Callithrix jacchus: one gene and its partners. The protein of the gene in region 1 interacts with the protein of each later gene in a pairwise test. Links are inferred from orthologs where the notes say so. Each region holds a gene or a part of one and is shown on either strand. Other genes may lie near its edges.

What was found.
Region 2: the proteins of MTUS2 (region 1) and TP53RK interact in binary tests that used the Homo sapiens proteins (3 or more experiments, as listed by UniProt). The two-hybrid records come from large-scale screens. The link is inferred for Callithrix jacchus from reciprocal best matches to the Homo sapiens genes MTUS2 and TP53RK.
Region 3: the proteins of MTUS2 (region 1) and KAT5 interact in binary tests that used the Homo sapiens proteins (3 or more experiments, as listed by UniProt). The two-hybrid records come from large-scale screens. The link is inferred for Callithrix jacchus from reciprocal best matches to the Homo sapiens genes MTUS2 and KAT5.
Region 4: the proteins of MTUS2 (region 1) and SNW1 interact in binary tests that used the Homo sapiens proteins (3 or more experiments, as listed by UniProt). The two-hybrid records come from large-scale screens. The link is inferred for Callithrix jacchus from reciprocal best matches to the Homo sapiens genes MTUS2 and SNW1.
Region 5: the proteins of MTUS2 (region 1) and CRY2 interact in binary tests that used the Homo sapiens proteins (3 or more experiments, as listed by UniProt). The two-hybrid records come from large-scale screens. The link is inferred for Callithrix jacchus from reciprocal best matches to the Homo sapiens genes MTUS2 and CRY2.
Region 6: the proteins of MTUS2 (region 1) and SHFL interact in binary tests that used the Homo sapiens proteins (3 or more experiments, as listed by UniProt). The two-hybrid records come from large-scale screens. The link is inferred for Callithrix jacchus from reciprocal best matches to the Homo sapiens genes MTUS2 and SHFL.
Region 7: the proteins of MTUS2 (region 1) and DCTN4 interact in binary tests that used the Homo sapiens proteins (3 or more experiments, as listed by UniProt). The two-hybrid records come from large-scale screens. The link is inferred for Callithrix jacchus from reciprocal best matches to the Homo sapiens genes MTUS2 and DCTN4.

What each region holds. Positions count from the first base shown.
Region 1 is NC_133506.1:147,967,852-147,971,858, reverse strand, and holds the start of MTUS2 (microtubule-associated tumor suppressor candidate 2), read right to left. Parts: upstream 2,801-4,007; 5' UTR 2,681-2,800; intron 1-2,680. UniProt on the Homo sapiens protein: Binds microtubules. Together with MAPRE1 may target the microtubule depolymerase KIF2C to the plus-end of microtubules. May regulate the dynamics of microtubules at their growing distal tip.
Region 2 is NC_133506.1:41,910,517-41,914,514, forward strand, and holds the start of TP53RK (EKC/KEOPS complex subunit TP53RK), read right to left. Parts: upstream 2,801-3,998; coding exon 2,518-2,800; intron 607-2,517; coding exon 167-606; coding exon of another isoform or gene 128-166; exon of another isoform or gene 21-127; intron 1-20. Other genes in the region: uncharacterized protein LOC144582859, read left to right, coding at 2,799-2,927, 3,034-3,261.
Region 3 is NC_133511.1:122,803,676-122,807,692, reverse strand, and holds the start of KAT5 (histone acetyltransferase KAT5), read right to left. Parts: upstream 2,801-4,017; 5' UTR 2,782-2,800; coding exon 2,604-2,781; intron 2,277-2,603; coding exon 2,208-2,276; intron 2,119-2,207; coding exon 1,982-2,118; intron 1,718-1,981; coding exon 1,535-1,717; intron 1,446-1,534; coding exon 1,371-1,445; intron 1,262-1,370; coding exon 1,187-1,261; intron 231-1,186; coding exon 1-230. UniProt on the Homo sapiens protein: Catalytic subunit of the NuA4 histone acetyltransferase complex, a multiprotein complex involved in transcriptional activation of select genes principally by acetylation of nucleosomal histones H2A and H4.
Region 4 is NC_133509.1:112,686,042-112,689,541, forward strand, and holds part of SNW1 (SNW domain-containing protein 1), read right to left. Parts: intron 3,171-3,500; coding exon 3,029-3,170; intron 1-3,028. UniProt on the Homo sapiens protein: Involved in pre-mRNA splicing as component of the spliceosome. As a component of the minor spliceosome, involved in the splicing of U12-type introns in pre-mRNAs.
Region 5 is NC_133511.1:110,891,850-110,895,349, forward strand, and holds part of CRY2 (cryptochrome-2), read left to right. Parts: intron 1-989; coding exon 990-1,130; intron 1,131-2,869; coding exon 2,870-3,181; intron 3,182-3,415; coding exon 3,416-3,500. UniProt on the Homo sapiens protein: Transcriptional repressor which forms a core component of the circadian clock.
Region 6 is NC_133523.1:9,278,982-9,282,911, forward strand, and holds the start of SHFL (shiftless antiviral inhibitor of ribosomal frameshifting protein), read left to right. Parts: upstream 1-1,130; 5' UTR 1,131-1,241; coding exon 1,242-1,262; intron 1,263-1,734; coding exon 1,735-1,858; intron 1,859-2,054; coding exon 2,055-2,104; intron 2,105-3,823; coding exon 3,824-3,862; intron 3,863-3,930.
Region 7 is NC_133503.1:49,422,559-49,425,755, forward strand, and holds the end of DCTN4 (dynactin subunit 4), read right to left. Parts: intron 3,075-3,197; coding exon 2,861-3,074; 3' UTR 501-2,860; downstream 1-500. UniProt on the Homo sapiens protein: Part of the dynactin complex that activates the molecular motor dynein for ultra-processive transport along microtubules.

The DNA of each region.
Region 1 (4,007 bases):
CAGCTCAAGCAGGGTCAAGGATATAGAACATTCCAGCAAGCAGGCAAGGGGGCTTGCCAATGAGATTACGCCATCTGTGACTGGGAAATGCACTTGTCCAAGTTAGGCTCCTACCCCCCTACAGAGACTAGGGGACAGAGCCCTATCCTTCCTGATAGTTTCATTTCAAAGGAATGGCTCATAGACACTGAGGAAGACACTTCAGGTGGCAGGAGATACACATTACATCTCAAAGCACAGAGAAAGAATTACAGGTTTTTAATAAATAATCTAACAAAAGGAAAGTCAGGGGCCTATTATCATTTGCACAAGTTAGAACAAAAGATAAATTCTTTGGGGCAGCCTTGAGCTTTTCTAGGTAGGAATGCAAGTGAGGTTGGGTCATCCCAGGAACATGGTCTTAGGGTGCTAGACACCACATTATATGGTTTGGCTGTCCCCCACACAAATGTCACCATGAATTGTAGTCCCCATAATCCCCATGTGTCATGAGAGGAACGAGGTGGGAGGTAATTTAATCATGGAGGCAATTACCCTCATGCTGCTCTAAGTTCTTATGAAATCTGATGATTTTATATGGTGTTTTTCCCCCTTTTGCTCATTCTTCTCTCTCCTGCTGCCACAGGAAGAAGGACGTGTTTGCTTCTCCTTCCTCCCCAGCCATGCTGAACTATAAGTCAATTAAACCACTTTCCTTTATAAATTACCCAGTCTTGGGTATGTCTTTATTAGCAGGGTGAGAACAGGCTAATACACAATGCTAGGGTGTTTTCAAATCCCTTGGAGGGTGGAAGCACAGATAAAATTGTTTTTGTTGAAAGCAGCAGTTCTTACAGGCCAAGACCGAGGCCTAGTTGAGAAGAGGGCTCAGGGGAGCCTGACTAAAGTTTGGTCAAAAAGAGAGTCTCTATGGATGGGTGGGTAGATGGTATACAGACGATGGATGGATGGATGGATAGACGAGGTGGGAAGGGTCAAGAATATAAGATCGAAAGGCATCCAAATTCACACAGGAAGTAGAAATCACTTCAGAGCAAAAGGGAAACTCCTTGACTCTTTTCAACAACTCATTTCAAACATGTGTGTGGTGGATATTATAAGCCTCCCACTCGCTCATAAAAACTGCTAATGGGAACAAGCTGATATTCATCTAGTCCTTCCAAACCTGCATTTGTTTCCTGTAGGATATTTTCCAGGACTGAGTTTGTTTGCTCACTGTTGAAAATTCGTATTAGAGACCAATCCTAAGAAGCTTACAGAAGGATCTCCTATGGAGCTGATGCGATCTGTTCCAATTAACATTTTATTAATGAAGCATCTTTCAGTAGTTTTTTTTTTCTTCCTTTCCCCGTGGCATCTTGCCTCTGAGAAGAGGAAGAGCTTTAACCCACTTTCCTCCCTTCCCCACCCCATTTCCATTCTTCTCCATCTCCAGTTCACACACTGAACCAAAACAGTCCCACGCATGTGAGATCACGAGGCAAAAAGCTGGTTCTCCAGGTAAGTGCCTGATTTCAGTGGCTCCACACAGCCCTAGGTTATAGCAGTTTGCAGTCTCTCAGCAAGTCAACTATGATATTGTCTAGACTTTTTTTTAATCTTTTCGGACAACAAAAATTAAACGAAGAATAGGCAACTTTATAATTTAATATTTGAACATAAGTTAGAGACGGACAAATTCAGGGTTTGTGGAACCTTGGGTTTACATAATTGGGGGAGTGGGAGAGCAGAAAGAGTACTCTTCCAGACGTGGAGAAATAGGAATGCTTTTACACTGTTGGTGGGAGTGTAAATTAGTCCAACTATTGCAGAAGGCAGTGTGGCGATTCCTCAAGGATCTAGAACTAGAAATACCATTTGACCCAGCAATCCCATTACTGGGTATATACTCAAAGGATTATAAGTCATTCTCCTATAAAGACAAATGCACATGTATGTTTATTGTGGCACTGTTTACAATAGCAAAGACTTGGAACCAACCCAAATGCCCAGCAAGGATAGACTGGATAAAGAAAATGTGGCACATATACACCATGGAATACTATGCAGCCATAAAAATGGTGAGTTCATGTCCTTTGCAGGGACAGGGATGAATCTGGAAAGCATCATTCTCAGCAAACTGACACAAGAACAGAAAACCAAATACCACATGTTCTCACTCATAAGTGGCTACTGAACAATGAGAACTCATGGACACAGGGAAAGGAACATCACACACTGGGGTCTCTAGTGAGTTGGTGGGCTAGGAGAGGGACAGCAGGGGGTTGGGAGGTTGGAGAGGGGTAACGTCAGGAGAAATACCTAATGTAGGTGACAGGGGGATGGAGGCAGCAAACCACCATGGCATGTGTATACCTATGTAACAATCCTGCAAGATCTGCACATGTACCCCAGAACTTAAAGTAAAAGAAATAAAAAAAAGAGTACTCTCCCTATTAAAAAAAAAGAATCCAAAAGTACAAATACAAACTCAGGGATGACCACATGAACACACTGCCAGCGCCCCTCCCAGAGGGCTCCAAAGAAGCCTGAGGCTTAGGTTCATTAGCTCCCCAGTCGATCTGCCTCTGCTAGAAGACAGAAAGGACTAGAGAGGTTTCTGCCACAGCATTCAAGTCTCCAGAAAATCGCCAAGCCTAACAGTCTTCTATTACATCAATCCCGGAGACACTATTCTTACCTCTCTTTCGCAAACCACCATCCCTGCTGTTCCCTCTAATTTGGCAACAGCAATTCATTATAAAAGTACGTATGCCGGCGTGGGTTTGGGCATCCTCCCGGATTTTGGCTTTAACAGTCTAGTTCCGTGTCAATTATATAATAGCCAAAACAGGGAGTTTAATGGAGTACCAAAAGCACAGTCATAGTTCTTACATAAGCCTTCATAAACCATCCATAAGATCTGCTCTGAGATTTGGATATTTGGGATTACATAAGGTAGACAGGAAACATTGACTCAGAGGTCAGGTTTCTTTCTGACTTTAAAAAATAATAAAAGCCTTTTTGCATTTAATGTACTCGTTTATAGTGCTACAATAAGCTTCTAATTTGATAGGGAAAATAATCTTTCCTATGACTTACTTTATCATGTAAACATAAAGGAATATCCTGACACTACTACTCAACTTTCATTGGTACTTCTGCAAATGAAATGTATCACTTAGGATTCCCATAAGTATTCTACGTGGAATTATGGGTCCATGATAAACATCAACTACTCTTTGCAGGAAAAACAATCAAGAGGAAGCTTTTAGACAAAGCAGAAAAGTCTGCATGTTGTAATTCTTCGACGTCTCCTTTCCAATTCCATTTTTTCCTTCCCATGTTCCTAACAACATATTTTTGACTTACCTTAAACCACTGTAGCAACATCTAGCCTACAAAGTGACAAAACAATGCTGTGCAATGGTTCTCTGCCCTGGCTACATGTTAGAATCACCAGGAAAGCTTTTTAACATTATAGATGTCAAGGCATCACCCCAAACCAATTAGAACAGAATAATGGGTGGAGGAGGACCAAGGGGTGTTCCCAGCTATCAGTATAGCTGATGGTTTTTACTTTTGCCTATTTTAGTGGGGGGAAAAATAGCCATAATTGAGTACAAGTGAGTACTTGTTTTACGGGGTGGGGAACGGGAAGGGAAAAAGAGACAGATGCTTTAATAACTGGCAACTCATAACTACTAAGTTTCCATCAGAGACTAAAAATCATTCAATAGTTTGAAAACTAAAAAGGATATATGTGGGATATTTTTATCAATAAGAATTCTCACCAATTCATAATACACTTCACAAAACCAACTTTTAATGCCTTACAATTCTACCTAATGACTTTTTTTTAAAGGGTCCTATATTATCTTAAAAGGGTATCTCAAGCTAAGACCACCGCTCATCACCAAGTAAACTTAAAGCATGACACTCTTCTTGGATGCTCTGGTAATCACACATAACTTTGCCAATGAGCAAATATTTTTTTAAGCACTTATATAACACAGAGTACAGGCGCC
Region 2 (3,998 bases), about 110 Mb from region 1:
GGATGATCACACACCACTTAAAAATATCTTAACACCTTTACTTAGATCGCCTCTCTTACTTGCCGCATTTCTTCAAATGTACTTTGAAAAAACAGCTTCACTGCGTCTGGCTGTCAGACACATTCTTCTACCCAACCATGGACCTCTTTCTTCCTCTCAGGCGTACCTCATCTAATTTTTTTAGCACTGGCCTGGCCTTTTTGGAGGAGGTGGAGTAGCTCTTCAGAAAGGCTTCAAACACAGTTTCAGTGTTGGGATGGGTACTGAGGAAGGCCTTCTCCAGGACGTAGAGGTCTACTCCCTTATCCTCTGGAAGTGCTGAAATGAAACTCAGCCCAAAGTCTATCAGCACGATATTCAGCTGTTCGAGGGGTGGTTTCAGGAGCATGTTGGAGGTGGTGAGATCACCATGAATGAGGTCTTCATCGTGCATTTGAGCCAAAACCTGCCCAATTGCCTTGGCTAAGTTGGAGAGGCTCTGGGGAGTTTTTTCAGTCTCCATAGTGGACTGAATATAATCTCGAACAGTCACCGAGCCTTCAATTTCTTCCATATATAAGCAGTTGGAAGCATAGTCCACAAAAAAGACAACTGGGGCAGATATTCCTGAAATCAAGACATAAGTGGTTATTGCACTGGATTTTCTTTTTTAATGGTAAACTTAATTTTCAAAGATTAAGCCAGTTTTTCCAACTATATCTACTTATTTCAGGATGATTTAGGAATGCTGCAGGAAATGGCACAACTTAACTCATCTGGAATATTCCCCTGCTCACGCCCACTGCAGGACTATGCCTGGGACCACCCCACAGCTAAGCTGAGGAGGCAAAAGCTTCCTCCTCCCTTCCAAACCACCCTTTCTCACTGAACTTCATTTATCACACTCTCTCCCTGAAAAAAAAAAAAAAACAAAGGCCAGGTGCAGTGGCTCATACCTGTAATCCCAGCACTTTGGGAGGCTGAGGCAGGCGGATCACTTGAGGTCAGAAGTTCGAGACCAGCCTGGCCAACATGGTCAAACCCCATCTCTACTAAAAATACAAAAATACAAGTAGCTCGTACTACCAGCTACTTGGGAGGGTGAGGCAGGAGAATAGCTTGAACCCAGGGGGTAGAAGTTGCAGTGAGCCGAGATCACGCAACTACACCACTCCAGCCTTGGTAACAGAGCGAAACACTGTCTCAAAAACAAAAAACGAAAATAAAGAGCAAGGCACAGCCCAATCAGGGCAGGTTCTACTGATGAGGTCACAAACAGGAGGCCAAGCAGTGGGCTGACTTTGAGGTTCATCTTCAGAGAGGACAGGGTTCAAATCCCATCTCCTTTTCTTATTAGTTCTCTAATCTTAAAGTTACATTAACTTCTCTAAGCTTCAGTTTCTGCTGCTATAACATAGGAACAACAGCTCCAATAAACTCAATGAATCTTTACCGAAGGTCAACCAGGCTCAGTATACTTTTCTAGAAACTTAGAGATAAATCAATGGGGATACAGCAATAAACGAGGCAGTTATAATACAATTCCTGCTTAACATAACATATCATAAGAGGTGGAAAACAGAAATACGAACACACAAATAACTTCATGAAATCTTGTCTTTACAAGGGCGGCATGTGTCTGCTTGTTGGCTAATGAATTTCTGGGCTCCCCTCCCCCAGATCTCCCAGCACTTAACAATGTTCTGGTGCCCACCGCTGTCTAAAAAATATTGATAAAAGAAAGAAAGGCAAGAAGTGTAAAAGTGAAAAGCCAGTGCTTCTGAGTCAGGGGCATACGGATCTGAGGGCCTGGACCAGCCACTTAGTAGCTGTGTAACCTTGGGCAAGTTACTTCTCTCTTGAGTGCCAATTTCTCATCTGAGGACAAGGTTTATTGTGCTGGCGCACAATGATGTTTAATGAAAAAATAAATAGGCAATTTAATGAAGTCCAACATTTATTGAGCACTACGTGCCAGGCACACATTTGAACATAATACGTGGCACATATACCTTCTCTAATGGTCACAACATCCCTACGACATGGATACTGCTACTATGTCTCCCATTTCACAGGTGAGAAAACTGAGGGTGAGAGGCTAAATAACTTGTTGAAAGGCTACATAAGCAGCAGCAGAGTTAGTATATCAACCCAAAGAGCCTGGCTCCAGATTTAATTACATCTGTTTCTTAAGACTAATAAGTAAACAGATAATGATTGAAAATTGAAACGAGTCAAATAGGGAAACCAAGGCTCAGGGAAGTTAAACATGTTCAACGCTGAGCAATAATGACAGAGCCCAGATCTGAACCAGGCAGAACGGCCCAGGACAAACGCTTGACCCTGCACGGCCACGTGGTTTCTTAAGACTTAATGACGAAAGGTATGAAAGAATAACATTTCCGAAAGGCAGGCCACGGCAGAAGGCACATAAGGAGAGACTAAGGCAAATCAAGGCTAGGAGAGCAGAAGAGTACCTCACTCGTCCAAGCCCCAGAGCCTCGGGGCCACCCACGCCGGGATCCCGGCCCACCTTACCCGCGCGGCGGCAGCGGAGGAGGGCCCGGGCCTCCTGCACAGTCCGTCGCCTGCCAAGCCGCGCCTCCAGCGCCGGGTGCCGGTAACCCTTGGGGAAGCGGTGCTTCACCACCGCCGCGCGACCCTGGAAGCGGCCGCGGAATACGCGCGCCTCAGCGCCCTGCTTCACCAGCTCCAGGCCGCTCAAGAAGCTGCTGCTCCGCTCGCGGGCCGCGGCCAGAGCCTCAGCCTCCGGCGCTGGTTCCTCGCCACCGTCCGACACAGCAGCTCTGGATGCCGCCATGACTGTGGTCCGCGAAACAGTTCCGATCGATCAGCGGTCCCTGAAAACGATCGCGATGCTTCGGCTCGCTTCGGAAATCCTCGGACTTCTGCTACCCGAACGCGTCTACCCCGGAAACTTCCGGCCTGTGAGTGGCTACGCCTCCCAACTTTTAGGCTCTTTCTGAAGCCTTGGGTTCCCTGCAGGAAGGGCTCTTGTGGCCCCGCCTTCCACCTCTTCCGTTATCTCCGTAGCGTTCGGCAACTCTCGGAAAGCGGCCCTTCCCCACTCCTCGGCTCTCTCCGGAAATCTTCGGTGACTCTCGCAGCCGGCTTTGGGGCCCACCTCCAAACTGGTTGTCTCTTTCCGGAAAACTTCGGCGCCTGTCGAGAAAAACGTCGGACGCTCTCTGCTCTTTTCAGGAGTCTTCCTGGACAGCTGCACCCGCTAGTAGTTTGTTTTTGGAACTCCTCTTCCCCTGACTCCTAAATTTTCCCCAGAATGTAGTCAAACTAGTCAGAGTCGCGCGGGTCAAGACAATGAACCCATGTTTCCGACATCGTCTTAAGTGTTAGGTTAACCACCATTTAGTGCATTCAGAAGAAATAAGGATAAATGATGAAAACCCTTCCTACGGAAAAGAAAATGGAGACTCAGAGAGGGCAATGGGGGTGGTAGGATGGGGCAGGGAGTGGGGGCTGGGGAATCCCGGAAAATTTTCCGGAGACAGAACATAAACTGAATTGGGAGTAATTAAGCTTTTTCAGTTTCTACCTGTTTCATTATAAAGCTAATACAGGCCGTAGCAAATTCTTACAATACAGAACTTTGCACACACACACATGCATCAAAACCTGCCTATCGCCCTTGCAATGTGACGCCGCTGGCCGTTAGTTTCTTTCCAGGCTTTTCTTTTATTCAATGCGCACACTCACACATGGTTGTGGCGTTTTTTCCAATATGAACGACATCATACTGTGGGTTCTTTTGCAACTTGCTTTTCATTCTCCTAGACAATTTATCTCGGACTATATTCTATTTCAGTGCATGCAGAGCTACCACGTCCTTCTACCTGTTGCGAAACAGTTGTTTCCAGTTTGTTGTTTTTCAGGAAAACATTTTACTATTACCAGTTTCTTATAAAAGATAGTATAAGAGATAAAAATGAACAGCCAAATGAAGAGATACAGGGGTAAAATTTAAAATGGTAGGCATTTAT
Region 3 (4,017 bases), on another chromosome or scaffold:
TTGAGGCTACGGCCGTACTTGAGGCAGAACTCGCACAGGTAGAGGACAGGCAATGTAGTGAGCTCCTGTGGGTACGGGGAGAAGTACCACGGCTTGAGGCGGTGCCGGCCCAGCTCGATACACTCAATGTTCTTCATCCGGGTGACGATGTCGTCGTGGCTCCGGTCAGACACCAGGCTGCCAGTCATGCGTGGTGCCGATGGTATTCCATCTGAGCTGTCCTGGGAGTCCTGCCCAGGGCGAGTAGAAGACACCAGGTTAGACGAGACAGCTCAGCAGGACACCACAGCTCACACCCCCTCAACAGGTTTCCTTCAAGCCTAACAGCAACCCTATAGGGAAGGTACCATGACCCCCAATTTCCAGACGTAAAACCTGAAACCCTAAGGGACTGATGATGTGGAAAACATCACCCAATGATCATTTTGGAGATGGAGTCTCACTCTGTCGCCCAGGATGAGGTGCAGTGGTGCAATCTTGGCTTGCTGCAACCTTCACCTCCGGGCTTCAAGAGATTCTCTGGCCTCAGCCTCCGGAGTAGCTGGGATTACGGGTGCCTGCCACTATGTCTGGCTAATTTTTTTTTTTTTTTGAGACAAAGGCTCACTTTTTTCCCAGGCTGGAGTACCAGTGGTGTAATCTCAGCTCACTGCAACCTCCACCTCCGGGGTTCAAACGTTTCTCCTGCCTCGGCCTCCCAAGTAGCTGGGATTACAGGCGTGCGCCACCAGGCCCAGCTGATTTTTTACTTTTAGTAGAGATGGGGTTTCACCATGTTTCACTACCATGTTGGACAGGGTGGTCTCAATCTCTTGACCTCATGACCCACCCACCTTGGCCTCTCAAAGAGCTGGGATTACAGGTGTCAGCCACTGTGCCCAACCAATTTTTTTATTTTTAGTAGAGATGAGGTTTTGCCATGTTGGCCAGGCTGGTCTCAAACTCCTGACCTCAGGTGATCCACCCACCTTGGCCTCCCAAAGTGCTGGGATTACAGGTGTGCACCATGGTGCCCAGCCCCAATGATTCATTTGAACCATGTTCTGCCTGGCTCCTAATCCTACCAACACTAGCCCTGCCCAGGTCCACCACCCCTTCATTTTTATACTCATCACTAAATAACTCTCCACCCTGCCTGCATCCCTTCCTTTTCACGCAGCTCCCTTCTGCTGCTCCCCAGACCCACCTCATCAGTGCCCAGACAATTTGATTTTCGCTTCCGTCCTGGCTGGGCTGCCACTGCCCTACGTGCTGCTCCATTCTGCAGATGAGATACCAGGAAAAGAAGGGATGACTGTGAGATGAGCTTGAAAAGGGCCACCAGAGGGCAGAAGAGAGGAAAGGAACAAGAAATGGTTTGGGGAACTCACCTGGGGAAAAACCGAAGCTGGGGCTGTCTCACTGGGCACTGGAGTTGCTGGTGAAACCACCTCCACCTTCCGTTTCTGCAGAGAGAAACCAACAAAGGTGGGTCAGAGGGTAGAGAAGGTGGGACCTGAGAAGAAAGCAAGGTCCCTGGAATTGCTGAGGGTACCGTTGAGCGGTGGTTGGGCTGCAGGCAGGAGCTGGAGGAGAGCGGCTGGTCAGGCTCGCCACCGGGAATGGCCTCCCGCTCCTTGGGCAGGTTGAAGCGGAGTGTGATCTGGACCGGGATTGGCAAGGTCTTCCCGCTGGCCTGGGCCGAGGCCGGCTGTAGAGATAGGTCCAGGGTCTTCCTCTGGGGCGGGGATGGCAGTGGGATGGGGAAGGGGAAGAGGGGCCCCTCAGCTTAAAATTATCAAACCCCACCCTCTGCCTTCTGAAGGACACAGGACTAACTACTGGACTCTGGGAGCTACATGTGCAATTTGGCCCCCATCTTTTGCAAGCTGAAGTCAGGGTAAGAGGATGCCGCCTCCTGCCCATCCAGGAGCCCCTAAATGCCAACAGATAAGAGAAATAGGAGGCAGGAGAGATGAGGTGAAGTGGGGGACCTACTCACCACCTCTCTCTCTGGAGAGCCGGGACGGGACCCAGGAAGTCCGTTCTTGGTGGGGGTCTTGGCCTCTTTCTTGGGGAACTGGATCTTCTTTAGGTCCAGCCGCTCGTGCGTCACCCATTCATCCAGACGTTTGTTGACTGTAGCAGTGGGGATGGCTCAGGAAGGAATGCCAAAGACTGCCCCCCAACCCCCTACCCTGCTGCCCCACCTTAGGCCCAGAACTCACAATCAATGTAATGGACGTAGAAAAGCTTCCGGCCACTGATGTCCTTCACACTCAGGATCTCGGCCAGTGCTATGGGAACAGCATAGGCAGGGACCTTAGACGGGCCAGGCCATGAGACTCCACCCTTCCACGACCTGAACTCCACCCCCAGGCCGGATCCCTAAGCTGCAGCACTTGGAAGGTCTCATCCAAGCCTCCTTCAGTCACAAGTGCCACCCCTTTCCAGACCCCGCCCTGTACCTCTCATAGCAGCTAAGAGCCACGCCCCTTCATCGGAGTGTCTGAGCCCCGCCCGCCCCATAATTCCAGAGGCCCCTCCCCATCCCGGGGGTTCAGTGGACTCCCTCCCGCCCCTCGCCCTCAGGTTCCTTAGCCCCGCCCCCCGACGTCACTCACGCCACTCATCTTCGTTGTCCTGGTTCCGCCGCAGCACGGGTAGGCGGCAGCCCTCGATTATCTCCCCCTGGGGAGACAGCGCGGCGCCAGGGTCGGCTACTGGGGGGCCTCGGGCTCTACCCACCTCCCCTGGCTCCCTCCGCCCCGCCCCAGGCACCGGACTCACCACCTCCGCCATCTTCCCTCCCTCCACTGCCACTTCCGGCCCCTCTGGGAGACGTCACTTCCGGAACTGAGTGCTGTAGGCTTGGGCCTCACGAAGCCCCTATAGAGGACCTTTGAGAGACACCGCCACCCAGCTGCCAGCGGCAAGACTGCCCCTGTGGCTTGGGGGAGAATGTGGTGTTACAAGCCTCAGACCGAGCCCTAAGTGGAAACCCCACAACGTGCACAGCGATTGGAGAACTACTGAGCCCGTCACCTGACGCCCACCGCGTGCGACGCTGGTCACGTGGATGCGGAGCGGGTCACGTGGCAATATTGTTTGGGCTTTGACAGAGGGCGGTGCTGGGGCGTCTCCTCGTGGCGGCGGGAGGTATCGCCGGGAGTGAACTGCTAGTGCTGAGCTACGGGCCGAGAGGCTGGAGGAAGGGAGTGGCTTTAGAGGGGCTTCAACGCTCTTCCAAGTCTGTGGACTTCATTCCATAGGCAGGAGGATTCAGGGAATATTCCTAGCTTTATTTTGTATACTACGCTTTTTTTTTTTTTGAGACGGAGTCTCGCTCTGCAGCAGTGGCGCGATGTCGGCTCACTGCAACCTCTGCCCCCTGGGTTCAAGCGATTTTCCTGCCTCAGCCTCCCCTGTAGTTGGGACAAAAGGCGCGGACCACCATGCCCAACTAATTTTTGTATTTTTAGTAGAGACGGGGTTTCTCCATGTTGGCCAAGATGCTCTCAATCCTTTGACCTCGTGATCTGCCCGCCTTAGCCTCCCAAAATTCTGGGATTACTTGAGGTCAGGAGTTCAAGACCAGCCTGGCCAACATGGTAAAACCCCATCTCTACTAAAAATGTAAAAGTTAGCTGGATATGGTGGTGTCCTCCAGTTATCCCAGCTACTCAGGAGGCTGAGGCAAGAGAATGTCTTGAACCCAGGAGGCAGAGGTTGCAGTGAGCCAAGATCCTGCCATTGCACTCCAGTCTGGGTGACAGAGTGAGACCCTTTCTCAAAAAAAAGAAAAAGATGCTGCCCAGGCTGGTCTCAAACTTCTGAGCTCAAGCAGGCTACCCACCTCAGCCTCCCAAAGTTCTAGGGCCCCGGCCCCGGCCGTTGTTTTGTATATTAGGTTTATAATTATAAAGATAGTATGTGTGATACTCATCATACATTCAAAAAATATTTAGGGACCCAAAACATGTGTCAGACACTATTCTAGAGCCTGGAATACATCAGTGAACAAAATGAAGACTTCAG
Region 4 (3,500 bases), on another chromosome or scaffold:
GTAGTTTTTTGTAGCTATTATAAATGGGACTGCCTTTTTGTTTTTCAGCTTGAGTATGCTATTTGTATATAGAAATGCTATAAATTTTTGTATGTTGGTTTTGTATCTTGTAATGTTACTGAATTCATTTATCAGTTTTGTTTTTTGGTTGGCGTCATTAGGTTTTTCTAAATATAGGATCATACTGTCTCTGATGAAATATAATTTAATGTCTTCCTTGTTTTGATTTTTTAGATGGAGTCTTGCTTTGTTGCCCATGCTGGAGTGCAGTAGCGCAGTCTTGCTGCTCACTGTAACCTCTGCCTCCCGGGCTTAAGCAATTCTTGTGCTTTAGCGTCCTAAGTAGCTGGGATTATAGGTGAGCCCCACCATACCCAGCTAATTTTTGTAGTTTTAGTAGAAATGGGGTTTCACCCTGTTGGCCAGGCTGGTCTTGAACTCCTGACCTCAACTGATCCACCTGCCTCAGCCTCCCAAAGTGCTGGGATTACAGGTGTGAGCCACCACACCTGGCCTTCCTTTCCAATCTGGATTTCTTTATTTCTTTCTCTTGCCTATGTTCCTCTGTCAAGGCTTCCAGTCCTATGTGGAATTATAGTAGTGAAAGTGGGCACCCTTGCCTTGTTCCAGATCTCAGAGTAAAGACTTTCAATTTTTCTCCATTCAGTATAATGTCAGCTGTGGGTCTGTCATATGTGGCCTTAAATATTTTTAGGGATGTTTCTTCTAAGCCCACTTTGTTGACTGTTTTCATCATGAAGGGATATTGAATTTTATCAAATGCTTTTTCAGTTTCTACTGAAATGATGCTATGGTTCTTATTCTTGGTTCTATTAATGTGATGTATCACACTTACTGATTTGCATATACTGAATCATCCTTGCATCCTTGGGATGAAGGACAGTTCAGTTGATTATGATGAATGACTTTTTAATGTCTTGTTGAATTCTGTTTGTTAGAATTTTGTTAAGGATTTTTACATCTATAACTATCAAGGATGTTAGCCTGTGGTTTTCTTATTTGTTGTATACTTGTCTAATGACTTTGTAGAATAAATTTGGGAGCATTCCCTTCTCTTAAATTTTTTGGAATAGTTTGAGTCCAACTGGTATTTAGTTCTTTAAATGTCTGGAAGAATTTAGCAGTGAAGCTGTTAAGTTCATGGGAGCAATGTTAATTGTTAAGAAAAAAAATTAAGCACAGACTAAGTGGTAGGAGATATGGGTGTTCATTATATAATTCTTTTAGCTTTTCTGTATGTTTGAAAATTTTCATAATAAAATAGCAGGAAAGGCCAGGTGCAGAGTCATCCTTAACTCCTAATTTTTTTTTGTATCTCCATCTAATCCACAAACAAATTTTGTCCACTCTACCACCAACGTACATCCAATATCTGACTATGTTTTAGCTACCACTTGCTACCATATCTCTTATAGTTTTATTTGGAAGGCATTAACCCATGCCCATTTCACAGTAATGTATTTTTAAGACAGCAGCCAGGGAGGTCTTTCAAAAATAAATGTTAGGGGAAATGGTCATATGGTACAAAGTTTGATTTATGCAGGATGAGTAAATTCTGGAGATCTAACATACTGTATGGTAACTATGGTTAAAAATACTGCATTGTATATTTGAAATTTGCTGAGAGTAGATCTTTTTTTTTTTTTTTGACAACAGTTGAGACTTTCCATCCAGTAACATAAGACAGTAGATCTTATATGTTCTCAACAAAAAATTTAAAAAGTAACTATAAGAGGTGATTGGTAAATTAACTGGCTGGACACTGGTGAACACAGTGTATATTAAAACATCTTGCTGTATACTTTATACAATTTTTATTTGCCAATTATACCTCAATAAAGCTGGAAAACAATGTTAGATCACATCACTCTACTCAAAGCGCTGCAATTGCTTCCCTTTTCACTTGAAGTAGAAGGTTTATCTTTATAATGGTTAAGCAGTGGCCAAACATAATCTGGCCACTACTCTTCCCACCTGCCCTAACTATTCTGACACCATATCTCCTACTTCTCCCCTTCTTTCTCATACAATCCAGGCTTAATGTCCTGTCTGCTCTTCCTTGAGCCACTCTAGGCATACCCCCATCTCAGAGCCTTGTACTGGCTGGCCCTTCTTTGTGGGATGTGCTTCCCCCAGATATTCACATGGCTTGCTTCCTTACTTCCTTCAAGTATTTCTGCTAAAAGCACTATGTCAGAAGTGAGGGCTCTTTGATCACTCTCACCTTCTGGCAATTTTATATCCTCCTTCCCTGTATTGTTTTTCCTCCACAGCAATTACTACCTTTTACTATACTACATGATTAACTTTTGTCTGTCTACACTCACTAGAATGTTAACTGTTATATCCCATTCCCCCATCCACTGTCTAGCAAAAACCCCTTACATCTAAAAGGAAACCCTGCACACAGCAGATGCTCAATATGAACTACATAAATAAAAGAATGAATAAATGTACTAGGTAAGAATTTAGTAATGCAAGAAAAACCACCCTTACAAAATTTCAATTAGGATTCATCTTCCCACTTCAATTGAATTAAAACACCAATGTAGACGACTAAGTAAAGCCAGAGAGAAAATACTGGAAGATTTAATGATTAGAAATGCATTAGCCTACAAGACAGAAAAACTCTGGATTATTTTACCATATGAGGGAGTTGAGTTATTCAATTAGAGACCTAATTTCTCTTAAGTTTTGAGATTAAAATAAGAGAAAAATGAAGCCTATCATTTGAGTAATAATGCAATTTTGAAAAGTATATTACTCAGAAGTTTAAAAACTTCTGGTACAGTCCCAAACTGAAGGCCCACCTTTAAATATACACTCTTATCTCCTGTTGCTTCAGCTTACTAACACACAGATTACTCTCCATTTCTAAACTATATCTGAAGTATCTAAATTTTGTTTATATGTACCTACTTTATATGCAGTAGGAAAAAAATATTTTCTAAAATGAGATATATTTTGTTCACCAAGTAAATTCAATTCAGTAATGAGAATGTCATACCTTTTTCCACATGAGTTTTGATCCCAGCTCTTCTCTCCCTGGCTTTCTGGGCCATTTCTCTAAGTTTCTCTTCATGTTTTTCCTTTTCTTTTTGAGCCATTTTTCTCTCTACTTGGGCACGCATTTCCACAGCTTCACGAGCCTGTTAGTAAAGTCATATGTTAAACAGGACACTATCACGGGATAAATATTTATAGCTATCATCCAACTCCCTAACATCTGGCTGGTAAGAGCAATTATACAGAATTCAGATTTGTTATTGCTAATTAAAACAAAGATTCTTTTCCATTAAAAGATATCCTGCCTGGAAGACACTGCAAGGTCAGCTTTTTTCTCTGGGAATATTTTAGTGAATGAAACTACAGTGACCACAATTAATCTTGTAAGTCAAGTAGTTCACTAATGCTTTCTCAGAAACAATCGAAAAAACAAAATTAAAGCCAAGTGTAGTGGCTCTCTCCTGTAATCCCAG
Region 5 (3,500 bases), on another chromosome or scaffold:
TTGAACTTAGCTTCTTGTTTTCAAAAGGAGGTAGTGACAAATGATACCTCGGATGATTGTTAAGATCAAGTGAGAACAGGCACAGTGGCTTACGTCTGTAATCCCAACACTTTGGGAGGCTGAGGCGGGTGGATCACCTGAGGTCAGGAGTTCGATACCAGCCTGGCCAACATGGCGAAACCCCATCTCTACTAAAAGTACAAAAATTAGCCAGGTGTGATGGCGTGTGCCTGTAATCCCAGCTACTTGGGAGGCTGAGGCAGGAGAATCACTTAAACCCGGGAGGCGGAGGTGTCAGTGAGCTGAGATCATGCCACTACACTCCAGCCTGGGCAACAAGAGTGAAACTATTGTCTCAAAAAAAAGATAATGAGAGACTGCATGAAATAGCAAGTCAGGAAAATAAAGTCCTATGCCAGCAAGCAGTGATGATAAAAACACAACCAGTAATATTATGTGACACATGGCGCCAGAAGTGAATGACTCTGTTGGTCCCCAGGAATAGATTGGAAATTTCCTCTTTCCCAGCTGCTGTTGAACAATAGTGGAAGTCCCTGGTGTCCGTGATACAACCTCAGGGCCCCTACTGACTAGAGAAGGGACTGAGAAAAAGAATTTTTTTTCTGTAAAGTAGAAGCTGTTTTTCCTGCTGTAGAATTAGAGAGTTTATTCAGTGCTTTCAGAATTCTTTCATATTTCATTTTAATCCGCAGGAGATTGGAAATTTTGTTCTTATTTAATAGATAAATAGCTGAGGGATGTAAAAACATGTTCACAATCACCCCACAAATTAAAGAGCAAGTCAGGGAAGTCGCTGTTTGGTCTGCTGGTTCCGTCTCAGAATCAGCTGGACGAGCACAGTGTCAAGTGCTGGCTCCATGGCTGGCTGTTCTGCGACATTAGGCAGATTTCTTAACCATCCAATGCCTCCATTTCTTCATCTGTAACATCCAGGCCTTTCCTTTTGCCACCTTCTCTTTCTGCTGTAGGCCTGGGTTGCCAACTATGAGAGACCCCGAATGAACGCCAACTCCCTCCTGGCCAGTCCCACGGGCCTCAGCCCCTACCTGCGCTTTGGTTGTCTCTCCTGCCGCCTCTTCTACTACCGCCTGTGGGACCTTTATAAAAAGGTAAGAGGGACACACCTGCCCAAGTCACAGCTAAGGTCTGCAGCCAGGCGTTTTGGGCTTGTTAGTTGCCCTAAAAAAAGAGGCATTGGTGGGAGGGGGTTGGGCTGTGGCCCCTGGAAGGGCCTAAGTGTGCAGATAGTCCAGAGGAGGAGAGAAGAGTCAATACCCCACAGGGCAGGGGCAAGCACAGAGTGAACTGCCCACCGGAATGGAGCCCAGGCTCCATTCTTCTGTAGAGCAGAAGGGCAGGCAGAAAGCAGGCCTCAGGTGTGACTCTAGAGGTATCAGATCCTCTGGCAGCTGGTGGATGGGGGTGAGGTCCCCAGGTGAGAGGCATGGAGCGGGTGAGGCTGGAGCCAGTCTGCAGCTGAAGAGCACAGAAGGGGAGTCTAGGAGCAGCAGTTGTCCATCAGTGATGGAGGGAGTGGTCTGGAGAGGCTGCACACACAGCTGTGCTATACAGACAAGAAGCAAATAAGCCTGTGTTAAGTGTCCCCAGAAGGCGAGAGGGCAGCACAGTCAACATTCAGAGTGATCACATTACTTGTGCCTATGATTTTTTTGTTTCTGTTGTTTTTTTTTAAGACAGAGTCTAGCTCTGTTACCCAGGCTGGAGTTTAGTGTAGGCTGATCACAGCTCACTGCAACCTCAGACTCCTGGGCTCAAGCAATCCCCCTGCCTCAGCCTCTCAAGCAGCTGGAACCAAAGGTGTGTGCCACCATGCCAAGCTAATTTCTTAAGTTTTTTGTGGAGATGGGGTCTCGCTATGTTGCCCACAAGCAATTCTCCTGCCTCATCCTCCCATAGTGCTGGGATTACAGATGGAGCCACCATGCCCAGCTGCTGTGTCTGTGTTTGTTTTTGTTTGTTTGTTTGTTTTTGAGCCAGGATCTCATTCTTTCACCGAGGCTGGAGTGCAGTGGTATGATCATAGCTCACTGAAGCCATAACCTTTCGGGCTCAGGAGATCCTCCTACCCCAGCTTCCCAGGTAGCTGGGGCTACAGGCTCATGCCACCACACCTGGCTGATTTTTTTGTATCTTTTGTAGAGACTGGGTTTTCCCATGTTGCCCAGGCTGTTCTCAAACTCCTGGGTTCAAGCAGTCTACCCACCTCAGCCTCTCAAAGTTCTGGGATTACAGGTGCGAGCCACCACACCTGGCCACAGCTACATTTTTTTAGTGTTATCTCCCCATCCTTGCCATTTTTGAGATTTTGTGGCATGGGGTAGCTTTGCCAGTCTGGTGAGTAATCTTGTGGCTTTAGGGAAGTCATTATTTGCTTGGAGGTCTGATTTCTTAATTACTTTATGGTCCCAGATCCAGGCTGTGTGTATAACTTATTCAACCAGAATCTAGACAACATTTTTCATGTGCGCTGATAGGAAGACTCCTTTTGACTGTCTAAAAGGTGGAGCAAAACAGGGAACTCTGAGGACAAGGAACATGACGAGCCTTGGGAAATTTGCTTCCTAGTGCAGAGTCCTGTGGTGAGGTTCCTTCCCACTGCCCGGCCCTCTGTAGCTTTCTTCTTGCTCAGAGCAGTGGCATAGTGCAGGCAGGGCCTGAGTGTTGCACCTGCAGGTCCGCTGTGCCGCTTCTAGGGGATAGTTCCTCCACATCTGGGGTTGAGCCGCCGAGTCTGTGGAGGGCCCAGATTCCTTTGTAGAAGACACCTGAGAGGCGTCATGCTAAGAGCTCAGCGAGTGTTTGTACCCGTGTGCCACCCTACCCTCAGGTGAAGCGGAACAGCACACCTCCCCTCTCCCTGTTTGGGCAACTCCTATGGCGAGAGTTCTTCTACACGGCAGCTACCAACAACCCCAGGTTTGACCGCATGGAGGGGAACCCCATCTGCATCCAGATCCCCTGGGACCGCAATCCTGAGGCCCTGGCCAAGTGGGCCGAGGGCAAGACAGGCTTCCCTTGGATTGATGCCATCATGACCCAACTGAGGCAGGAGGGCTGGATCCACCACCTGGCCCGGCACGCCGTGGCCTGCTTCCTGACCCGCGGGGACCTCTGGGTCAGCTGGGAGAGCGGGGTCCGGGTGAGTGCTCTCTCAGCAAAAAGCTGGCCTGTACCCTCTGGTCAGGCCCAGCAAAGGGCAGCCCCCATCTGGGCTGAGGGATGGGTTGGGATTTCTGGGTCCAGGAGATCCCCTCTAGATCTTCTGTGGCTTGCCTTCAGCAGAAGAGTTTTGGCTCCTGGGGGCACTGTGGTGACTTGGGAAGAAACATGGCAGCAGGTCCCCAAGGAGACTGATCGTCCCTCCCCTATTTAGGTATTTGATGAGCTGCTCCTGGATGCAGATTTCAGCGTGAATGCAGGCAGCTGGATGTGGCTGTCATGCAGTGCTTTCTTCCAGC
Region 6 (3,930 bases), on another chromosome or scaffold:
AGTCGTTGAACACAATGCTATTTTGCCACTCAGAGAGCATCTGGCAGTCTCTGGAGACATATTTGGTAGTCACCATGGGGAGAGTGGGGAGCCATTGGCATCTAGTGGGTGGAGCCCAGGGATGCTGTTAAATGTTCCCCATAACAGGACAGTCCCCCACACAAAGAACTAGGCAGCCCAAAATGTCAAGCGTGCTGGGCTTAAGAAACCCTTGCCCGAGCGCCCCAGACTTAGTCTTGCTTTGGGGGCTCCGCAGGCTGCTTCATCTCCCCACTCTATTCCTCCCCCAGACCTCCAATTCCAGTGACGCTGTACAAAGCATCCCCTCCTCCAACGAGGCAGCCATCTCTGATGTCCCCAGGCTGGGCCAGAGCCCCACCACTCTAGGGCTACCAGATGCATCCTGTACAAGGTTCGAATTGTCCCGGCCCACCGCGTTCTCAACCATGGCAGATTCCCTGGATCCCTGAGACAGCCGGATTCTACCGGGTTACTAGAGACCAAGAATCTGTATTTTTCTCAAGCACCGCTCCCCGCACCACACACACACACACTGCCTGCCCCATCAAGGGCACACAGCAGGTGGCCCAGTGCTAGTGGAGCGCCTACTGCAAGCCAGGCGCTATTACGCGATCCACTCGGGAATCTTGGCACAGGCTCCACTCCATGGTGTAGAAACCAGGATCTTCCCCATTTCACAGAGCAGTAAACTGAGGCTCAAAGAAGTGACCGTAGCGGGACAGAGACTCAGGGCAGGAAAAGGGCCCAGGTCCTCAGAAGCTCCAGATTCCCGGGGGAGGAGGGAGGACAGAGGAGGGTGATGGACTGGGGGAGCGCGCGCTGGGTGGGGGGGCGCGGGGCTTCGCCGCGGCCTTCCGATGCAGCCCCGCCCCCACGAGGGACGTGAAGACGCGGACCCCGCGCAGCGTGGGGACATGTGACCGACTGCAGAGGCCGCGCCGCCTCCCCCGCCCGAGGTCTGCGCGCTCCGCCGCAGGGTGCAGACCCGGGGCTCCCGCCTGGGTTTGGGGCGCAAGAGCAAAGGCGGAGCCAGGGCGGAGCCAGCGCGCCCGGTCCCCCCCGAACCGAAAGCGAAACAGGGGCCGGGGAGGAAGGGCGGAGCCGGCCCCGAGGCACCGCCCCCTGCCCTGCGCGGCTGCTGGACCGACGGGCGCGCCCAGGTAGGGGGGCGGCTGAGCCGCGCAGTGCGGACCCTCGCGGGGACCTGCGCCGCCGCCACCATGTCTCAGGAAGGTGTGGAGGTAGGAGATGGCTACGGCTGGTCCGGGGGGGAGCCGCGACAGAGCCCGAGGAGCGGCCAGGAGGCGCGGAAGGGGCTTCGCAGTTCCTGGGGACCCCCATCCTAGAACCCCAGATCCTTACCCCTGCCTTGCGCTCGCCCCCCTTGAAAAGGAAAGTGACTCCCACGTTTCCCCAGAGCAAAATGAGGCCTCCCTGAGGAAAAGCGGGGGCTGCAGGGTCAAAGGTCAGAGGCCAGAGATAACCTGGCCGACCCCCCACCTTAGGCTGGGACGCTCGCCCCGGCCCGCGCCCTCCCCCAACGCCCTGTGGGGACTTTGGCTTTTTCCAGGAAATGCCGTAGAGGGATGGGGGGGGGGCGGCGGAGGCCAAAACCAAGGGTCAAGTTCAGGCCGGGAGAACGGTGCCTAGTAATGGGGGAGGGAAGATCGCGCGTCCCCTTCCCCCAGCGGAGCCCCCGTGTCCCCATCCCAGCTGGAGAAGAGCGTCCGGCGCCTCCGGGAGAAGTTTCATGGGAAGGTATCCTCCAAGAAGGCGGGGGCTCTGATGAGGAAATTCGGCAGCGACCACACGGGAGTGGGGCGCTCCATCGTGTACGGTGAGGCTGAGGGGGCCCGGGCCTGGTGCGGGGACCGCGCGTGGGATCGCCGAGGGGGCGTGGTGTAGGGAGAGGCGTTGAGATCACCTCCCCTGGAGATCCCAGCTTGGGGGAGGCTCTGCGTCGCGGTTCTGGGTGGCCTGGAACTCCCACAGACCCTTCAAAGGCCCTTCCCTTATGCGCACTCTCCCCGCAGGGGTAAAGCAAAAAGATGGCCAAGAACTGAGTAACGGCCTGGATGCCCAGGTAACCCTTCCCCTCTCAAAGGACTGGGTCACGGGAGGGAGAGCAAGAGGGGGCCCGACCCGTTCATGGGGACCCTCCTCTGAAACAGCAGGGACCAGGCATTGTCGTCTGCAACTCATGCCCAATCTTACTCACTTTTTCACCTCTCCATCGTTTGCGAGACCAGGGAGCCTGCAAACAGTAGGCGCTCATTATGTGCTGATTGTATTCAATGGGAGAGAGAGAGCCATGAAACTAGGCAATGAAAGGAGCCAGGATTATTGCCATGGTAGGGGAGCCCCAGAGGTCAGAGAAGGCTTCCTGGAGGAGGAGGTACCACGTCTTAAAGGATGGGGTGTAGTGAGCCCTAGGAGGGGAAGCCAGGGGTCTTGGGGTGGGGGAGGGAATGGTATGAGCAAAGACTGGAAGTGGGGAAGGGTTGTTAGTGGCAGTCCCTAAAAAGGCTGCGATGAGCAGGGGATTGGGGAGGAGAGAGAGGTGGGGAAATGGAACCCTTGTGTTGAGTGAGTGAGTGAGTGAGTGAATGAATGAATGAATGAATGGTTTTGAAGCACAGGTTCAACGCGGCTACTTTGCTTCTTGGAGAGCTTTGGTGATGGGAACGCTGTGGATTTCATCTGCCTGAAAGGCTCAGTGTAGGGCTGTAAAAGAGTATAATAAAATATGCATCATAGTCCACATTTACACATGTAAAAGTATGATAAAAATATAGCAGAGGGGCCGGGTGCAGTGGCTCATGCCTGTAATCCCAGCACTTTGGGAGGTAGAGGCAGGCAGATCACTTGACGTCAGGAGTTCGAGATTAGCCTGGCTAACATGGTGAAACCCCGTATCTGCTAAAAACACAAAAAATTAGCTGGGTGTGGTGGTGCATGCCTGCAATCACAGCTACTTGGGAGGCTGAGGCAGGAGAATCACTTGAATCCGAGAGGCGGAGGTTGCAGTGAGCCGAGATCGTGCCATTGCTCTCCAGCCTGGGCGACAAGAGCAAAAAACTCCATCTCAAAAATAAAATAATAATAACAATAACAGAGGGTAGCATTGATTGAGTACTTCCCACATGGCGAGACTCCAGGAATTGATTTATTTCATCACCACAGTGACCCAGGAGACAGGTCCTATTATTTATCATCCCCATTTCATAGACAAAGAAACTGAGGCTTAAGTCACTTGCCAGGTTCTCGAGGCAAGCAGGTGGCAGCTGAGATTTGAACCCTGGCCACCTGGAGTCAGAGCCTGAGCTCTGACATGCCTGTCAGTCAGTGGGAACCCAGGGGGCAGGGAGTGGCTTGCCCAAGTCCCCACAACTGGAAGTGATAGAGTTAGGATTCAAACCTGAATCTCAACCCAGATTCCCACCACTTATCTCTGGCACAGTGTGGCGTCAAAGGGGTGATGCATCACAACACCAACAAGCATGTAGCATTTGCAGGCAGGAAGTGAGTATGGGAGTCAGGCTGGCTTCACTCAGGCAAGTCCTCCACTAAGCCTCAGTTTCTCCAGTGCAGCAATAATGTCACAGGTGTGCCCACTTCTCAGGGCTGTTATGAGGACAACTGAGACCACACACCTGGCTCTCAGTAAGTGGGCAGTGCTCTGTGAGTTCCTGGCGAGTTAGGGGCACCCCATTTTCCTTGTAGCCAGGCCTCTACCCCAGCAAACAGATGGAAAGAGGCCTGAGCCCCATCCCCCATTTCTGCCCCTGCTATCTCCACCCAGGACCCACCAGAAGATATGAAACAGGACCGGGACATTGAGGTGAGTTGGTGGCTGTGGCTAGGGATGGGGAAGTGGGGAGGAGGACATCTGCAGGCACAGAAGCATGT
Region 7 (3,197 bases), on another chromosome or scaffold:
CTAATTTCCTTTTTAAGATGAGATAAATCACATGCTGATGGAAAAAGGAAGGGGAGAGCTGCCGATGCTATCTGTGAACAGGTAAGAGGATGTGCTTGACTGTTAAGAGGTGGGGCTGGCTTCAGAGAGAAGAGTGTGAACAATTCATCTAAGTAACAGGAGGGAAGGAAGAGTTATGAAGGTACAGATGAAGGTGGATGAGCGGCCATTGGTGGAGGCAGACCACTGTGTATGCTGCAAAGGATATCTTTAGAAGCAATGACCCAGGATAAAAACTGGCAGAAGTCTAACAACATTTATGTAATGGTTCTGTGAATATGTATATGAGAAGCTCAAAGCTCTACTTATGTATTACGGTGAACTAGCCTGTTAAGAGTTTAGATCACTTCATTTAAAGAAATGGAAGGGAGCATGCCCCACCAACTCTCTTAACTCCACTCCTATCTTATGACTCTAGGCATGCTACTTAGTGTCTACATGAAACAAAACAAAAGACACACTCAAGCTTTGTCTGCTTTATTTCACTACATTAAGTTAAGCAATAAGGCAAAACAGTAACCTGTGATTCATAAAGATCAAGAAGTGCCGCTCCTTCCCAAAAGGGATGTTTCTTCACAAATACGCATGACACTTAGCTCATTATGCTGACAAGCACTTCCAACAAAAGAAGACGTTAGTGGGAGAATCAAATAACAAACCCAATGAGCTTAGCCTAAGTTTCCAAAACTGTAGTTTCAAATGCTAAGGAGAACTAACTTTCCCGTGGTGGTGCATACTGACTAGCATTAAAATTTTTGCACCTCATCTAATATAAAAAAGGCAACAAATACAATTCCTAATTCACCAGCTGCAGGTGTTGAATCATTTTTACAAACACGCGGAATACTAGCTTGCACTAAAACCTATCTTGAGGAAACATTAAACCAATGGGTCTGTTATTCAAGTAAGTTTAGCTTCTGAAGAAAAAAGTTTACAATGAAAGTATTTTGTGTTTCTGTGTCATACAGGAATAAGACCCATACTTCAACATTATTACTTTTGGGAACAAATCCCAGCTACCTGACGTGTGTAGTCTATGCAAACGTGTAAACATATGAAAGTATTCTCTACTTTGATGCCCATTTCCTCCGGTGGCAAATATGGAGCAGTGACTTCACGGTAAGCCCTAGCAGGCAGTGAAATAAAAATCCAAGACTCTGTGGGGTCAGAACAAAAGCCAAACTCTTTCTATAGTCTGCAAATCTGTGATTACCCATCCCTGTGCTCCAACTCCTAAGAGGCTAAACTTTATTATTACCATAGCGTTAGAGATGAGTATTTTCTTTCTTACACTGCATCACATATATTACTCTGTGGGACTGTTTCATAAAGTTGGCTAGACCTTAAGAGCATGATTTAGTATCTTTTACAAGCTTCCTAAATATTTAAAACATTTTCAAGGGAAGCTTACAAGGACTATCTCCCATCTGTATTCTACATTATATTGTGTCTTTAATTATGTTTTTTAACTAAAGACTTAAAACAAGACCAAGGTAAACAGAAAATTTATCTTTTCCTCAAGTCTCTTGGCCACTTACTAACAATACCTTTACAGAAAACACAGTGCAGCTGGTGGTCTACTTTGTCAAGTTTCGTTTTAGAAAACATCATAAAAACTAAGGTTAGCAACTCAACTCCAGGATACCAAGTGAAAACAGCATGTCTGCTGTTAGGCCACAGCTGTGGGCTACTTGCTTAACTATTTTATGGTTTACAATCAAAATGGTCTTATTTGACTCACCATATGACCAAAGTCTTAAACTTAGTAAGGGGCAAAGTTCTTAATATCCAGTTTTGGATTCAAGAGATTATAACAGTTAACTTCCCCTTCAAATCAATGGAAAGAATGCTAGTTGAAAATATGCTAAAAATCTAACCTTTAAAATGTTTTCTGCATTCCAGAAGTGAACCTGTCCACAAAGGTTTTCTTTGGGTTCTTTTCCAGGTCCCAAATAGAACGTACTGAGTTACAGAGGCAGAACAGAGAAGGCATAGGAAGTAAGACAAATAAAGTTCGCTCCCCTGTGGCAGCATTAATCCCTGGGTGTTGTGGCAATATTTAAAATGAATGGAATTTGCTACCCCCTTGACACGACAGGTAATTGCTTGCTTCTCAAATTCTTCTTGAATGGTCCCATATTATACTGGGAAAAAAATTAAGACAACTAGTAAGTGTCCTGTATTCACTTAGAAAAAGAGGGCAAATGAGAGTGCCTTAACAACTTCACAGGCTGTTCCAATCATCATAATACTAAAGATGATGTGACAATTCAATTTTTCTGTTACATAGAAATCTACGGCAAAACAGCAGCCATTATGGCAAGTGAAGGGATATGTTTTAGACTGTTAGATTATATTTAATGGAATGCAGAAAGCAGTTGGTACATTGCCACCAATGCTGGATCATTAATAACAGGTCCACCTGTGGGTTATCATTTAAGTTTCATCTGTGACATTGTGATCTTTTAGTGAGATCAGATCAAGAGACAGTACAGTACAGTTTCTCAGGTGGTAAATACAATGCCACTCCAAGGAATACCCATCCCCTTTCCTAGGATGGAATTATGCTGTTGTTATTCAATGTGCAGGGCTCAGTGAGGGAGACACAGACTTACTGGTGTCAACAGAGTTGAGAGCAAGAGGAACAGTAGTTACCCTGTGTTCCCAATGCTTCACCAATGCTCCCACTTTCCTAGCAATAGAATTCTGTAGTGCATGGGTACATCATTATAAACGAGGCCTAATGAAGCAGCAGCTTCCACATTTTAACGCAGGTTTATGGTGACACTGTCCTTTGGGATCTGCCCTCCAATGGAACCTTTTAAGGAAGCAGTGGGCCCAAGCTAAGTTCCACATGCTGGGTGAGCCAGATGACTTCTGTGCCCTGCTCGCTTTCTTCAATGGGGCGAATAGGGGCTGCCAGGTTTTTAAAATCATGCTTCATCTTGAAGCACACGGTCACTTCACCCTCCTCACGCTGTGGGGTAACTTTGATGAAAATACCCACTTTGTTGGCCTTTCTGAAGGCTATAATGCTATGGAAAGAAAAAAAAGCAAGTATTAGGTAGATAAAAAATTAGCCAAACCACTAAGACTTACAGTAAAAGTAGTCTTCCACCTTATTCTCTCCTCCAGCACACACAGAACACCTATAAACA